Linked DNA regions of Arabidopsis thaliana. The protein of the gene in region 1 interacts with the protein of each later gene in a biochemical or structural test. Each region holds a gene or a part of one and is shown in the gene's direction. Other genes may lie near its edges.

Region 1 (4,528 bases):
ATGCAGAAGAGTGGGATTAGCTCTTGGTCTCATGTAAACTGTAAAGAGGACAGTGAAAAGTTGAGGCATGAAGAAGCCTTACTCCGGTCTCTTCTTTCACCTCTCTGACTGAGCCATCATGAATGTCTTCACCCTGACTCAACACAAACACAAAAAGGCGAATCAGAGAGCTGAACCTAACCATGTAATGAGCTTTAATAAGAACCAGCACCTCATTCACAACTCCGGTGGGGAACTTCCAGATACCTTGACCTTGAAATCTCCCTGTCTTCTCTTGAACCACCAGCACCTTTGGATTCAAATACAGAAAAGAAAAGAGATGTGATCCATTCTTGGAGATGTTCCAAAAAGACACACTAAAAATCTCATCTCATCAGTAATCAAACCTCTTTGTTGTGGTTAATGACAAAGGCACCTATGCCAACACGGTGAGATGCATTGGCAGGAAGCGTATCGTCTTCTTTGGGAATCCAATAGACAAGCATCAAGTAGTCTTTCTCCGCGTGGTGAAACCAGAATCCCTCCTACACATAATACACAACCAGTAAGTGATATGAAGACTCTCCAAACAATAAGCAAAAGGGGGTTTAAAGATATCTGATTGCGCATTAGGTAACAAAACAAGACCTTAACAGCAGTTTCAGCAAGACCAATAAGCTGCTTTGGCAACTTGATCCACACTCCCTTTTTGCCCTGCGTACATAAAAACGTTTGTAAACATTTCACAGTAGATCGGTTCATAGTCCTATTCACCGTCTATTACTGTAGTGGAAAAGTTGAATTTAATTTTTTTTGCAGCAAAGTGAAAGAGAGTTTCTGGCCCGCATTAGAATACAACAATTTTCAAGCGGAATAGTGACACTAACACTTTTAACACCCAAACTTTTACAATGATTCTTCTATGTAACAACAAATCGGTACCAGTATCTTGATTCGGATAACAAAATTTGTCATTTTGATCGAATCCAATAAGATCAAATTTAACAAGAGGAAGAAGGAAGAGAGAACCTGAAGAGTCCAGGTAGATAGAGAGGATCGGAGAAGTGTGGAGAAGAGAGAAGGATCCATGGGATGAGTCATCTCGGTCATCACGCCACCGTACTTGTCTTGAACAGACGGAAGCAGTGTTGTTGCGTCCTCACGGGACATGGGATTTGTGGAGGAACTAGAAGCAGACATGGATCTGTTCCTCGTGGTGGAGCAACTGTGAAACGCAGAGAACCCATCAGCCGGAGGAAAACGAAGACGACGGCCATTATTCTTATTACACAACAACAATTTGATTAAACCATAACTTTTGGCCAAACGGCAAGTCATCATTACGAGAGAAGAAAAAACAAAACTCTCAACTCAATTTACACTAAAGATTTGTCCTAAATAAGTAACAGACAAAACAAATTCTATATAAATCTGAAAGTTTTTAAATTGCTAAATAGATTGATCACTCGTTTGAAGGATTTGAGCATACAAAACCTGTTTTTTCACTTTGCGGTTCCCTTTCTACAACGTATGATGAGTGAAATAATAATAAAACAAGGAAGTAATCTATTTTTCTTCTAAAATATGTCAATAAAGGCCAAAGAAAATATTCTGTTACTGTATATTTCTATCACAAGAACATAAAAACTTCAATATTTTCTGTTTAAGAAGGTTAAGGTCAAAGGTTAATACGTACGTGGAATAGTTTCTCTGGATTGTTTGTGTTGTGACACCTACGCTTGATAGAGAAATTACCAATGATTTTCTTCTAATTTTTCTCAGATTCCCAATCTTAATATGGATTATGGATTATGATATAAAATATGTCGGTATCTCCGCGGCTTTCGCTGAGCCACACGGGGCTAAAGTGTTTTTTGCCTTTACACAAAACTGGTGTAGATACAAATTACAGAACATATTCAGCTCAGGTGGGCTCGGGTCGGGTCATATAACGACGGGTAAGAAAACGACTGAAGTGAAGTGAGGATAAAATGGAGGTTATGTTACTCCTTTGAGGGTATAAAGGTAAATATAGAGTTTTTTACCCTTTGAATTGCTTTTACTTTGGGCAGTCTCTTCTGGATTTCACGCCGCCCATTTTATTTTTTTTACCTTTTCCCGAAATGGAACTTCTCGCCGGCGACTGTCGGAAACGAGTCGGCGACGACTTTGAGGAAGATATTAACCCATTCGATGGTTCGGACGGTGGTTGCGGGTGGATGTACGGTACCCGTCAAATGGGTTCTAACGGAAACGACGACGCTTTGGCTACGCTCGCAGACTTGGCTTCGCCTCCTCAGAAATTGAAACCTATAAGGTGTGGCGTTAAGCTTCCGTCGTCGTCGGAGGATCGACATCCTCTTGATATTCTCGCCGGAACCCTAGATAGGCTGCCGGAGATGGGTTTTGGCTGCTTCGAAGCTCCTTTGGGATCGAAGATTGCTGACGTGGAGGAAAGTGGTCAATTGACTCGTGGGTTTTCAAAGGAAGAGGATGATTCTCTTCCTCCTCTTCAAATGGAGTTTCAAGCTCGAAATCGCATCTCTTGGGATGGTCTCTCTCTCAGGTATAAATCTCACCATTAAAAATGTGAGCTTTTTGTTCAACTTTGGATCTGTTACTGTGAAAAGTTGTTACTTTTTTTCTGTATTATTAAGAGTCTAATTTTTTTTCACGTTTATTAGAAGCTTGTTTGGTAGAGACCTCCTAAACACATTCTCTTCCTCTTGATATATTTGAGCTTTGCGGTATCATTTGATTCTAGATTGGTTGACTGGTGCATCACTGAACACTCTCAGCTTAAAGCATTAAACTTTGCAGATATCAATCAGATTGGTGTGCCGTCATTACAAGCTTTTACAGTGTTGGTTTATACCACTTCTAAGCAGTGTTTGTCTATATATTCTGCGGAACTTTTGGATTATTAGTTCTTAGATAGTGTAACCATGTTGGAAGCTTTGAGTTTTTGATAAGTACTTTCCAATTTTTGATTTTGCAGCTCCTCTGTTGATAGCAGCGATAGTGACTCATCTCCAGACGTTCGCAAGACCGTCACGGGTAAAAGAAAGCGGGAAACAAGGGTAAAGCTGGAGCATTTCTTGGAGAAGCTTGTGGGGAGTATGATGAAGCGGCAGGAGAAGATGCATAATCAGTTGATTAATGTGATGGAGAAGATGGAAGTGGAGAGAATACGCCGTGAGGAAGCTTGGAGGCAACAGGAAACCGAGAGGATGACACAGAATGAAGAAGCACGGAAGCAAGAGATGGCACGCAACTTGTCTCTCATCTCTTTCATCAGAAGTGTTACTGGTGACGAGATCGAGATCCCTAAACAGTGTGAATTCCCGCAACCACTCCAGCAGATTCTTCCGGAACAATGTAAAGACGAGAAATGTGAATCCGCTCAGAGAGAAAGAGAGATAAAGTTTAGGTACTCAAGCGGCAGTGGCAGCAGTGGTAGAAGGTGGCCGCAAGAGGAAGTGCAGGCATTGATAAGTTCGAGAAGCGATGTGGAAGAGAAGACGGGGATCAACAAGGGAGCGATTTGGGATGAGATATCAGCAAGAATGAAAGAAAGAGGGTACGAAAGATCTGCGAAAAAGTGTAAGGAGAAGTGGGAGAACATGAACAAGTACTATAGGAGAGTGACGGAAGGTGGGCAGAAACAGCCTGAGCACAGCAAGACTCGCTCATACTTTGAGAAACTTGGAAATTTTTACAAGACCATTTCCTCGGGAGAGAGGGAAAAATGAGTGAAAGATTTTAAATTTAGGTGTTTTTGGCACGCAAAACGGGAGAACTTGTAGATGATTACCTCGAGTTTAATTTTTATATCTTTGGTGTAGTTTATAATTTAAAACTCTACGGCTCTGTATTTGTAGAAGGTTCGAATAAAAAAGACAAATACGTTGGGGTGATTGGGATTTTGTAACGGCTAAGGGAGACGAGGAGAAGGATCCTCGGTCACATCGATTATGGCTGCCACGTTGTTGAACTTGTGAGGTCTGAAATTACAAATGCTGACACTTGCCAACACTATTAGCTTTATTCCAATTACTCTTTCTTCTCTCTCATTCCATTCTCTTCTTCAAATGCTTCTTAATTTCGGGCATTGGTTATTATTATTTATAGGGATATTCACAAACACAAAAGTCGTGTATTTAGAACAAGAAAGATATGGAACGTGGAGGCTTCCATGGCTACCGCAAGCTGTCCGTGAACAACACCACTCCTTCTCCACCAGGTAGTGCCATTCTCTATACCCCCTCTTTTCACAGGCTCTCTTCATTTCAGTTGCATGCGAAACCATTCTCTGCAATCCCTCCATTGTCATGTCTGTACTCTTTTCATGACGAACAGTTAATGAAATAGCTTTTCAATCTTATAAACCGCGCATGCAGACGTCATCGAAGCCATTATGCACTAAAACTTCCATTTTTCTTATTTTTGTTAGGATTAGCAGCGAATTTTCTGATGGCAGAGGGCAGTATGCGTCCTCCAGAATTCAACCAGCCTAACAAAACCAGTAATGGTGGTGAGGAGGAGTGCA
Region 2 (5,704 bases), about 13 Mb from region 1:
GTTTTGACGCATACTTTGATTACCTTGCCAAGAAGGATCCAGAGTTTGCTGCCTTGTTTCGAGTCAGATCCTCTTCAAGAACTGAACCAGTCAGCTCCAATCCACCTGATGCGCCTAATGCCACAACTGCTGGGATCGGACCTGAAGCTGTCGAACCTGAGGCTGTTGTAGCTAACCCAAACACTGGGTCATCTCCATCTGAGGCTTTCTAACATTCTGTATTAAGTTTCTTTTTCACTCATCAAAACTTGAATCTTTTGTTGGTTTGTTATGTAAAATTATTTGGCCTTCTAACATTCTGTATTCAGTTTCTTTTTCTGTACTTGAAACCTAAAATTTCAGCTTTTAAATATGAGTTTAAGGTTTCTTAATTAGTATTCAACTTCAAAGTTTAGTATAAAAATCCAATTAAGATAACCATTAAATATTGTTAAGTAGAACAGTAATCCCTATATTCAACAGTAATCATGCTTAAAACAAAACAGAAAAGAGTCGCTTATTTACCGCGAATCCATCGCAAACTTTACTACGGATTTGCGACTACAGATAAAAGCCACGCAAATCCATCGCAAATTTTGCGAGGCATTAGCGGGACAAAGAATTTGCGACTACTTTGCTACTGAAGTATTCCCTCGCAACTTGCGAGGAAAGAGCGAGGCTACTGTTGCAGCTAATATGCTACCGAGTACGTCCCTCGCAAATTGCGTGTGCTTCGCGAGTCTGGTCGTCCGTCGCAACTAGCGAGAAACTTGCGAGACCCGAAATTTGCTGTGAATTTGCTACGGATTGCTTCCCTTGCAAATTGCGTGTGTTTTGCGAGGCAACTTGTTCCTCGCAACATTTGCGAGGAACTTGCTACGAATTTGATTTTACGACGCGCGTTTTGCGAGGAACTGGAGTTCGTCGCAATTCCCTCGCTAAATGCTTTTTGCGAGAGACTAGCGACGGTTTCTTCCCTCGCAACTGGCGTGTTTTCTTGTAGTGACATCTACTTGAAGATTTAAAGCTTCGCTTTATTTATACGTTTGAAATCGATGCAAATGCAATTTTTCCAACCATGCAAAAGTTTACGCATGCAAGCACCTACAGTTATGAAGCAATTTCAAAGAACCCACCAAAGACAGAAGATATTAGATACGAAATACATATTTCAAATAAAATACTAGATTGACGATTGCATATATAAGTTTTTGTAAGTTTCTTGTACCATTGTACATAACTCATAAATATTGTCTCTAGATAATTAAGTATGTCTTATCGGTCAAATTCTATATCTTAAAAATAAGTAAGATTACTCATTAACTGCATACGAAAAAAAATTTAAACCACTCATTTCAATCGGATTCGAAATATAGGATAATCCACTTCATTTATATGTCTTTAACAACGACTATGACACGAAAGAAAATTATAAAGTAAACGAACTATTTATTATTGTAATAATTATAAGTCATCACTAATCCATAATAAATCGGATATCTATTCATTAAGAAGAGCATATATTAAAATAGTTTATACAAAAATATCCACACTGTATTATATTCGACGTTTGGACATTATCCAAAAGCTAGATTTAAGACAAAAGTCGCAAGTACCCATAAACCTTGGGGGGCAAATTGGAGTTTTCGTACAACGATAATCAGACTCCACTTATCCGCTTTTTTCAATTATCACAATAAAAGAAACGAATAATAATAATATTTTAATAATTTGTTCTGTTCTGTTCTTCATCTCATAGATCTCTCCTCTCTACACTTTCTTCTACAAAAGTGAGCAAATAAACTTGCCTCTTCGTCTGCTTCGTGAGATTTCAGATCCTGTAAAGAAATTTTATTAGCTCAAAAGAATCATTTTTGGGTTTCTGAACCATAAAAGCTTCTCTCGACTTTCAAAAACTCTCTCCTTTTTCCTTTTAGCCATTTCAAGCAGAGAGATTGATCGAAGAAGATAAAAACCTCGTCTTTCTTCAATCTCAGTGATTCTCAAATTACCCATCGCTTCCTTCTTTTGATCTCTTTGATTTCACTTCAAAAAGCAAAGAAATCTCGATTAGGTTATTCCTTGTTTCACCCCATAAATTTGCCTCCTTTTTTTTGGTCTCGGGAACTACTCTGATTTGTTTCAATCGATTCTGGATTTCGGGATTTGGATATAGAGCTCTCTGTTTTTGACATTGCCTTTGGAACTAAAATTCTCAGTCTTTGCATTTTTTTGATTCAAAAGCTCACTAAGTTTGGGTTTCAGAAGCTATTACATTTGGTCTTCGTAAGCGTCCTTTGAATGCCCTGTAGCTGAAGATGCAGCCTGATCACCGCAAAAAGGTCCAATTTTTCAATCTCTTATGTATCAGATTTGCTTATTAGAACTGATTAGGATCTGTAGCAATCCTTTTTACTGTTACTGCCTTTTAGTTTAGTCCTAATCTTTCTCTGTATTGAAGCTTTTGATATTGACAATAGATTTTTCTGTATATTCAGTCATCAGTTGAGGTAGATTTCTTCACGGAATATGGTGAAGGAAGCAGATACAGAATAGAGGAAGTGATTGGTAAAGGAAGTTATGGAGTTGTCTGTTCTGCTTACGATACACATACCGGAGAGAAAGTTGCGATTAAGAAAATCAATGATATCTTTGAGCATGTTTCGGATGCAACTCGCATTCTTCGTGAGATCAAACTTCTTAGACTCTTACGCCATCCTGACATTGTTGAGATCAAACACATCTTGTTGCCGCCTTCAAGAAGAGAGTTTCGAGACATTTACGTGGTTTTCGAGCTTATGGAATCTGATTTGCATCAGGTTATTAAGGCAAATGATGATTTGACTCCTGAGCATTATCAGTTTTTCCTCTATCAGCTTCTTCGTGGCCTCAAGTATATACACACAGGTTAAGCTAGCGAGCAATAAAATTTCATTGATTAGTATAAGTTTATGATTATCTTTCTGAAAATACTTTTTTTTTCTCTTCCTTTCAGCTAATGTCTTTCATCGGGATCTTAAACCCAAAAACATATTGGCAAATGCTGATTGCAAACTCAAGATCTGTGATTTTGGACTTGCAAGAGTCGCATTCAATGATACACCGACTGCGATATTCTGGACTGTGAGTAGTAGTAATTTAAATGCTTACTCTTTACAAGTTTACTCTTTTTGGTATGAAACCAATTTTTTATTCCTACTGCTTTCTGATCGCAGGATTATGTAGCTACTCGATGGTACAGGGCTCCAGAACTATGTGGATCTTTTTTCTCAAAGGTGACCATGATTTTGTATATATACTTTCATCGAATGTTTCAAATTTTCATAGGGAATCTAGTCAGTAGACACTATAGCTCTCTCATTCAGATTATAAAATTTTATGGTAACATTTTTTTTCTTTATCTATGCTTCTGTTCAGTATACACCGGCAATAGATATATGGAGCATCGGGTGCATTTTTGCAGAACTCTTAACAGGGAAACCTCTTTTCCCCGGGAAAAATGTGGTCCATCAATTGGATCTGATGACGGATATGCTGGGAACTCCATCTGCTGAAGCCATTGGAAGGGTATGTGTTCCTTTCCACAATGCTTAAGCATTGTTTCTTTTTTTGGCTGAATTTCTTACACTGAAACAGGTTAGGAACGAGAAAGCTCGAAGATACTTGAGCAGCATGAGGAAGAAGAAGCCTATTCCTTTTTCACATAAGTTCCCACATACTGATCCTCTTGCTCTTCGTCTTCTAGAAAAGATGTTGTCTTTTGAACCCAAGGACCGGCCTACAGCTGAAGAGGTGGTTCATACATTTCGTTCTTTACACTCCTTATGATGTAACTTTGGTTATAGCTAACTAAATGGTTTTATGTGTTACCTCAGGCGCTTGCAGATGTGTACTTCAAGGGTTTAGCTAAGGTTGAAAGAGAGCCTTCTGCTCAACCTGTCACAAAGTTGGAATTTGAGTTTGAAAGGCGGAGGATCACAAAAGAAGACGTCCGAGAGCTCATATACAGAGAGTCTCTGGAGTACCACCCAAAGATGCTGAAAGAATACTTGGATGGATCAGAGCCAACTAACTTTATGTACCCGAGGTACCGGCCTGAGCTGACCTGCTTCATACTATACTCCTGTGTATTATCCATGTTCTTATGGTTAATGTATTATTCATTCTGCAGTGCGGTGGAACATTTCAAGAAACAATTTGCTTACCTCGAGGAACACTACAAGAATGGTACTTCTCATAATCCCCCTGAGAGGCAACAGCATGCATCATTACCAAGGTATGCTTTACGTCCTTTAAAAATTTGATCATTTGGGATTCTTTCGAAACAGCTCAACAAAGCCTCTTTTTATGTTTTGCAGGGCTTGCGTATTGTACTCTGATAACAATCATCCGGTGGCACAACAGAGTTCAGCTGAAGTCACTGATGGACTCTCCAAGTGTAGCATTAGAGACGAGAGACCTCGGGGTGCAGACAGGAATGCCCAGATGCCAATGTCGAGAATTCCTATCAACGTCCCTCAAACAATCCAAGGTCTCTCACCCTCTCTGTATATAATGTTATGATGCAGAATAACTCTGTCTCCTGAACATTTATCTGGTTGTAATGAAGCAGGTGCTGCAGTAGCTAGGCCTGGTAAAGTAGTTGGATCAGTGTTACGCTATAACAACTGCGGCGCAGCCACAGGCGTTGAAGCTCTTGAACAACAACAGAGAAGGATGGTCAGAAATCCAGCTGCTGCGTCTCAATACCCAAAGAGGACTCAACCTTGCAAAAGCAACAGAGGAGATGAAGATTGCGCCACCGCTGCTGAAGGTCCAAGTAGATTGAAGCCAAACACTCAGTATATACCACAAAAAGTGTCTGCAGCACAAGATACTGCAATGAGTCGCTGGTATTAAACATGATGTTATGGTTCTAGTTTTAGCTTTACCACCTCACGTCTCAGGGAGAGCTAAAAAGAGTATCCCTTTGAGTCATCCATTGTGTTATCAAGAGCCGAAACGTGAAGACATGCTTAAGAGCGAAATGAGAGAAGGAAGCGTGAGAAGATAAAAGAAGTTCTTACAGATCCTGTCATGTAATTTGTCTTCATAGTTTTGTATTCTTAAAACAACCTTTGTTTATCTACGTTGTAACACTTACACTGTCTACGATTCTTATATCCCATGAACTCAATCTGTTTCACCTAATAATCTGATATGCACCAACAATAAACCCCAAATTTCATTGGATCTTTGATTTATGAGAAAACGCGTTGAAAACGATTCATTGTACTTGCTAGATCCGATTAGATCAGCCATTATCCATAACAGAGATTATACAATGCACAAATCTTTCTTCTTTCTCTCCCATTCAGTGCAACCGGGGCTTCACTCGTCTTCCACTCGCGTCACAACCATCGGCAAATATTTCTTTTCGATGTCCAGATACTATAACAGAGTGTTCACTTAGCCTCGCCACATACTGCAATAGCTCCGTTAGTAAAGATGGGCAACTCTCTTTCAGATAATCAAACCCATCTGTTTGCATCACAGCTGATCATAACAAAAGGGAAAAAACAGACACAAGTCTCATCATGTGAACAGAGTTGATTCAGATCGATTAAAAAGAAAGATCTTGTGTGTTTACCTTTCAGGTTCTCTGGCAGTGCCACGAATTTGAGACACACTGCTTTTAGCTGCAAACAATGATGCTGCTCTGCTAGGGCCAAAGTAGTTGCAACCG
Region 3 (5,633 bases), on another chromosome or scaffold:
CCCAAACCCTGCATCCCAGATTCCGACCCAACGGGACCACCATGTTCCATGGTAGTGTCATCCTCTTTGCTATTGGTGGCATTGGAAGAAGAAGGGCTTTTCCTGTGAGTAACAGAGCTTAACCAATTTGATAAACCCAAAAAGGGTTTGAATTCAGAGTTATCTTGAGACCTCAATGAATCAGAAGGAGATGGTTCTGCATCACTAGACTTATTGCTTCTGTTAGAGACTGAACCTTCACCATCGTCTCGTTGATTGGGCGTGATACGAAGCTTTTTGAGAAATTTCTTCATGTTCATCTTCATACTCCAAATGTTAGAGCAGCGAACATCGACCCGAAAACTCCTTCATCCCTCGAATACACAGAAAAACGAGAACTTTGTGCTAAAACCCTAATTCCTTGGTACCACGACCCGGAGATCTGGAACTCCGTCCAGATCAACGGCTCGTCAAAATCTAATAACTGCAGCAAAAGAATTCTCGAGAAAACCTTAAATCGGAATCCAAATCAAGTAGCAAGACTCTCAATGGAGATCAGATTTCGATTTCAAGAAAATACTTTTTTTTTTTATCTCCGGAGCTGATCAAAAACCCAATAAGAGAAAGTTTGGAGCTTTTTTCTCAGCAAGTAAGCGAAGCCTCTTCCTTCTCTTTGACTCTCTCCTGAATTGAGAAAGTCCACAAAGACGCCACTTTCTCTCTCTTAAAGTCCGACAAAAGAAAATCAACTAAAAAAAACTTACGTAAAACAGAGTAGAGTAGATAGATAGATACGAGTATAGTAGAGGATGAAGAGTGGATTTTTGAGCTGGAGAGAATTGAATTTTGTTTTGCTTTTTTTTGCTACTGTAATTAAAAAATTACTCTATTTTTTGTACAATCAGTCAAAGCTTAATGCAAATATAGAGCTATTTAAAAACTTACCAATTCATTTTTAATGCAAATATATCATGCAAAACCGTACATTTTGTTAAAAAAAATAAGAAATGATAAATCGCAGAATTGTTTACGATCGTGCTTTCCATATTCAATATTCCTTCGCGTATCTGGATTTGTTTGATATCATTTATTCAAATAAAATTTTGTCTTTTTGGCTGAAAAAATGCTTCGCTCACCACCTTATGCATTATCCTCCCATGACATATCACATATATCATCAAGCGTATTATTCACTAAAAAATGCTTAGATTACGCTACTGTCGGATTCATTTATGACCCAATAACTATGATGTGCTCGAACCGCAACAGACTCCTGGACCTGCTCAGCTCATGATGAAATATATGTTCATATCATCAACGCGACCGAACGAGCAAGGCGTTTTTACTCTCTCTTTTTTTGTGTCTCAGATTCATAATTAGACTTTTAATTCCGGTTTGTAATGTAACATCTAACATCTTCTTAATTTCGAACCTTGTCCGGTTGAGTTTAATCCGTTTAGTGATTGAACGAAAATACATTTATTGTATGGGCCGCTTTGTAGGCCCATATACTCAATAAATGCATATGCCCGAATCAGGTTATCATTAACCGGTATAGACAAACCGGGTCGTCGAAATATTCCAAAGGTTTAAATATTTTGTTCTTCTCCCTCCACTCACTCTCTCTAATAATCAAGCAGGGGAAAAAAATAAATATCTGAGCATAAATAATGAAAAAAACATAAAAAGAAAATTAAAAAAAAAATGAAAAAATAGGAGAAGAACATGGTCTCCAACTCCGAAGGACAAAACCGAGAGACGCGGCGAGAAAGACGGTGACTTGACGGTAATTGTTTGGCTCTCAAGGAATTTCGGATACCCAATTTTGTAAATTACTAATCTTTTTCTTTTCTAATCTAGTAGTGGTCTATGGGTGGTGGTGGGAATCTCGTCGACGGTGTTCGTCGATGGCTTTTTCAGCGACCTTCTTCTTCTTCTTCTTCTTCTTCTTCCAACAATAATAATAATAATCACGAACAACCCATTTTCAATTCTTCTTCTTTCTCTTCTTCCTCTAACCCCAATCATTCCGCTAACTCTGGAGAGCTTATTATTGAAGAAGATCTCGATTTCTCTGGTCTAACGCTTATTAACGTTCCTAAACGTAATCATTTACCTATGGATCCTCACAAGAAGGTACCTTTCTTCTTCTCCTTCTCTACCCTTTTATGCTATTTGCTCTTAGATGTTGTCTTTTGATTGAGATTGAAGAGACTTGTTTTGTTCTCTTAATGTTCTGTGTTATTGCATTTGCTTCCACAAAAGGATAAAGTTTCAGTTTTGTGTTTCGTTTGATTGATCTTATTGTCTTGATCCATCATTTTGGTCAATTTTAAGTATGAATCATGAATAAAATTCTTCAGGGTGAAACTGAATTCTTCACGGAGTATGGAGAAGCTAACAGGTATCAGATTCAAGAGGTTGTTGGCAAAGGAAGTTATGGTGTTGTGGCTTCTGCTGTTGACTCACACACTGGAGAGAGAGTTGCGATCAAGAAGATCAACGATGTGTTTGAGCATGTCTCCGATGCTACTAGGATTCTCAGAGAGATCAAATTGCTTCGGTTGCTTCGTCATCCTGATGTTGTGGAGATTAAACACATCATGTTACCTCCTTCTCGCAGAGAATTCCGCGATATTTATGTTGTCTTTGAGTTGATGGAATCTGATCTTCATCAAGTGATCAAGGCGAATGATGATTTGACTCCTGAGCATTATCAGTTTTTCTTGTACCAGCTTCTTCGTGGTCTGAAATATGTTCACGCAGGTTAGTTTCTGGTTTTACACATTGGTCTCTTTCGATCCTCATGATTTTTGTTATAGATAATATTGAAACACTTAAGGGTTCTCTGTTTTCAGCTAATGTGTTTCATCGGGATTTGAAACCGAAGAACATTCTAGCTAATGCTGATTGCAAATTGAAGATCTGTGATTTTGGGCTGGCTCGCGTTTCTTTTAACGATGCCCCAACCGCTATATTTTGGACTGTGAGTCATCTAACTCAATGTGAAAGCAAAACTGTTCATTAGGCTTCCTCTTAACTATTTTCAAATGCTTGTGAGCTCATTTCGTTTATATGGATTTTGTAGGATTATGTAGCTACTCGGTGGTATCGTGCCCCTGAACTCTGTGGATCGTTTTTCTCCAAAGTAAGATTCTTTTTCACCAAACCCAACTACTCTTGCTATTTCTCCCTACCAGGAAAATGCTTCTAGTTTTCTATTTTGTAGAATATTGTTGTGTGGTTCTATAGTGTTGTTGAGAAGACCAGCCATCTCAAGCTAAGTCTACTCTTGTTATATTTCAGTATACCCCTGCGATTGATATCTGGAGTGTCGGTTGCATTTTTGCGGAAATGCTTTTGGGTAAGCCTTTGTTTCCCGGGAAAAACGTTGTGCACCAATTGGATCTAATGACTGACTTTCTTGGTACTCCACCTCCTGAGTCAATATCAAGGGTTAGTCACTCAAAACACTTGTTCATATTTTCTGTAGCAAATTTAATGTTCCATACATCATTGAGAGTAATTTAATCCTTGTAATGAGCTTTGCAATCTTGGACTTCTACAGATTAGAAATGAAAAGGCGAGGAGATATCTTAGCAGCATGAGGAAAAAACAACCAGTCCCTTTCTCTCATAAATTCCCTAAAGCTGATCCTTTGGCTCTCCGCCTTCTGGAACGCCTGCTTGCCTTTGATCCGAAAGATCGTGCATCAGCTGAAGATGTAAGTGAGAAGTAAATTTGCTTTACTTTTCCCTTTTGTTTTATACAGAACGAAACTCTTATATTCGTCGTTTTTGATTTTCATATTACAGGCACTAGCTGATCCATATTTCAGTGGTTTGTCAAATTCAGAGCGTGAACCAACAACACAGCCAATTTCAAAGCTTGAATTTGACTTTGAGAGAAAGAAGTTAGTTAAAGATGATGTCAGAGAATTAATTTACCGAGAGGTAACAAACAAACACAAAAGCCTTCTACATATATCCTTTTCTTTAATCTGAATTTGTTTCAATGTTATTCATTGATCCTAACAATCACTTTTCTTTGGATTTTGTAAATATCAGATATTGGAATATCATCCTCAGATGTTGGAGGAATACCTTCGTGGTGGTGATCAGCTTAGCTTTATGTACCCAAGGTTAGCTAATTAACAGTTAACAGAAACTATAAGTCTTGAAAACAGAAAGTTATGAACTCGATAAATCTTTTTGTTGTTTACGCGCAGTGGGGTAGACCGATTTAAAAGGCAATTTGCTCATCTTGAAGAAAATCAAGGTAAACCAGGAGCAGCAGGAGGAGGAAGAAGTACTGCACTTCACAGACATCATGCTTCCTTGCCAAGGTAATGTCTTTCACAGAATCTCTCTATCTCTTCTCTTCTCTTCTCAATCTCCCTCTGAGAGCATTGTGCTTCTCTATGATGATGTTGCAGAGAGAGAGTTCCTGCTCCAAATGGTGAAACTGCAGAAGAAAGCAGTGATGTTGAGAGAAGAGCAGCAGCTGCTGTGGCTTCAACCTTGGAATCCGAGGAAGCAGACAATGGAGGAGGTTACAGTGCTCGTAACCTCATGAAGAGTGCAAGCATCAGCGGTTCTAAATGCATTGGTGTCCAATCTAAAACTGACAAAGAGGTTAGTTAGTAAAGAAAGAAAGAAAGAAAAACAGAAGATCTTGAAAAGGAACATGACGATGAAGTTTGCTTACTGTTGTTCTTTTCTCTTTGTTTGCAGGATACCATAGCTGAGGAAGAAGATAATGAAACAGTTGCAGAGCTTACTGATAAAGTTGCTTCTCTTCACAATTCTTAAAAATGATTTAGTTATTTTTTTTCTTTTCTTTTCTTTTTTCACGAAAGTTTTCTGGTGAAAAGAAATTGGTTTCTCCATTCATCCACATCTATCTTCGTGGTTGGGTTTGATTTGTTGTATTTAATAGTTTTGGGGGTTTGATGAAACTTTAAATAAAAACATCGATCTCCATGTAATTTTTTTGTTTCTCTCTTTTCTTTAAACACTCATATTTTGAAATTATTTATATACTATTCAGTATTCACTTTGCTTCAGTACTTTGGGAGAGTTTGTGTGATTGGTATGATCCGGTCCAGGTCAAACCGGGATATTGGGTCTTATATAATAAATTATATTAACCTGAAGAACATACTCGACTTCTTAAAAGTAAAAAAGATAAGACTAAAAAATTAGCACACATAATAATAATGCTGTGTTAGTTGGCTTTTTAATGACGAAGACTAACCTAATATCTATTATTTATATTCCATGGTCCATCTGAATTGATACCATTCTTGGACTAATCTCATAACGACAAAATAAAATAAATAAAACGACAAAAAGAAGAAGAAAAAAAATGAACAAAATCGGGTTTTTGAAAAAGAGGTCAGAAATAATGGTATGGTCGAGTAAAGTGAGCTCCAGGGAGCTTACTCACCAACTCCAAACTACAGTCTCGATAAGAAAAAGAAACTGCAAAAAGTTGATGTATATATGGCGAACAAAGTCCACAGACGCCAGATTGGTTAAAGCAATTAGGCTACACTGTTTTTACATTATTTAGTAGAAATACTAATTGAATTTGTGCATGTTTAAAAGTGAAAAAAAACTAACATTATACTAATGGATCATGCCGCCAAACTT

The links. The genes of interacting proteins can lie anywhere in the genome.
Region 2: of the proteins of AT5G47660 (region 1) and MPK16, one has a biochemical effect on the other in vitro, tested with the Arabidopsis thaliana proteins (one large-scale study listed by BioGRID).
Region 3: of the proteins of AT5G47660 (region 1) and ATMPK8, one has a biochemical effect on the other in vitro, tested with the Arabidopsis thaliana proteins (one large-scale study listed by BioGRID).

What each region holds. Positions count from the first base shown.
Region 1 is NC_003076.8:19,310,906-19,315,433, forward strand, and holds AT5G47660 (Homeodomain-like superfamily protein), read left to right. Parts: upstream 1-1,841; 5' UTR 1,842-2,102; coding exon 2,103-2,545; intron 2,546-2,977; coding exon 2,978-3,731; 3' UTR 3,732-3,988; downstream 3,989-4,528. Other genes in the region: NUDT2 (nudix hydrolase homolog 2), read right to left, coding at 83-133, 212-289, 387-524, 628-693, 1,009-1,320; NF-YB6 (nuclear factor Y, subunit B6), read left to right, coding at 4,156-4,222, 4,433-4,528.
Region 2 is NC_003076.8:6,344,270-6,349,973, reverse strand, and holds MPK16 (mitogen-activated protein kinase 16), read left to right. Parts: upstream 1-1,706; 5' UTR 1,707-2,297; coding exon 2,298-2,321; intron 2,322-2,477; coding exon 2,478-2,886; intron 2,887-2,974; coding exon 2,975-3,102; intron 3,103-3,194; coding exon 3,195-3,254; intron 3,255-3,396; coding exon 3,397-3,546; intron 3,547-3,615; coding exon 3,616-3,771; intron 3,772-3,854; coding exon 3,855-4,066; intron 4,067-4,150; coding exon 4,151-4,255; intron 4,256-4,337; coding exon 4,338-4,510; intron 4,511-4,591; coding exon 4,592-4,878; 3' UTR 4,879-5,204; downstream 5,205-5,704. Other genes in the region: BPM1 (BTB-POZ and MATH domain 1), read right to left, coding at 5,333-5,514, 5,609-5,704.
Region 3 is NC_003070.9:6,243,798-6,249,430, reverse strand, and holds ATMPK8 (Protein kinase superfamily protein), read left to right. Parts: upstream 1-1,618; 5' UTR 1,619-1,765; exon of another isoform or gene 1,766-1,839; 5' UTR 1,840-1,848; coding exon 1,849-2,115; intron 2,116-2,342; coding exon 2,343-2,745; intron 2,746-2,837; coding exon 2,838-2,965; intron 2,966-3,067; coding exon 3,068-3,127; intron 3,128-3,285; coding exon 3,286-3,435; intron 3,436-3,547; coding exon 3,548-3,703; intron 3,704-3,794; coding exon 3,795-3,932; intron 3,933-4,046; coding exon 4,047-4,120; intron 4,121-4,207; coding exon 4,208-4,324; intron 4,325-4,414; coding exon 4,415-4,613; intron 4,614-4,712; coding exon 4,713-4,790; 3' UTR 4,791-5,133; downstream 5,134-5,633. Other genes in the region: AT1G18160 (Protein kinase superfamily protein), read right to left, coding at 1-305. UniProt on the Arabidopsis thaliana protein: MKK3-MPK8 and CAMs-MPK8 modules negatively regulates ROS accumulation through controlling expression of the RBOHD gene during wounding.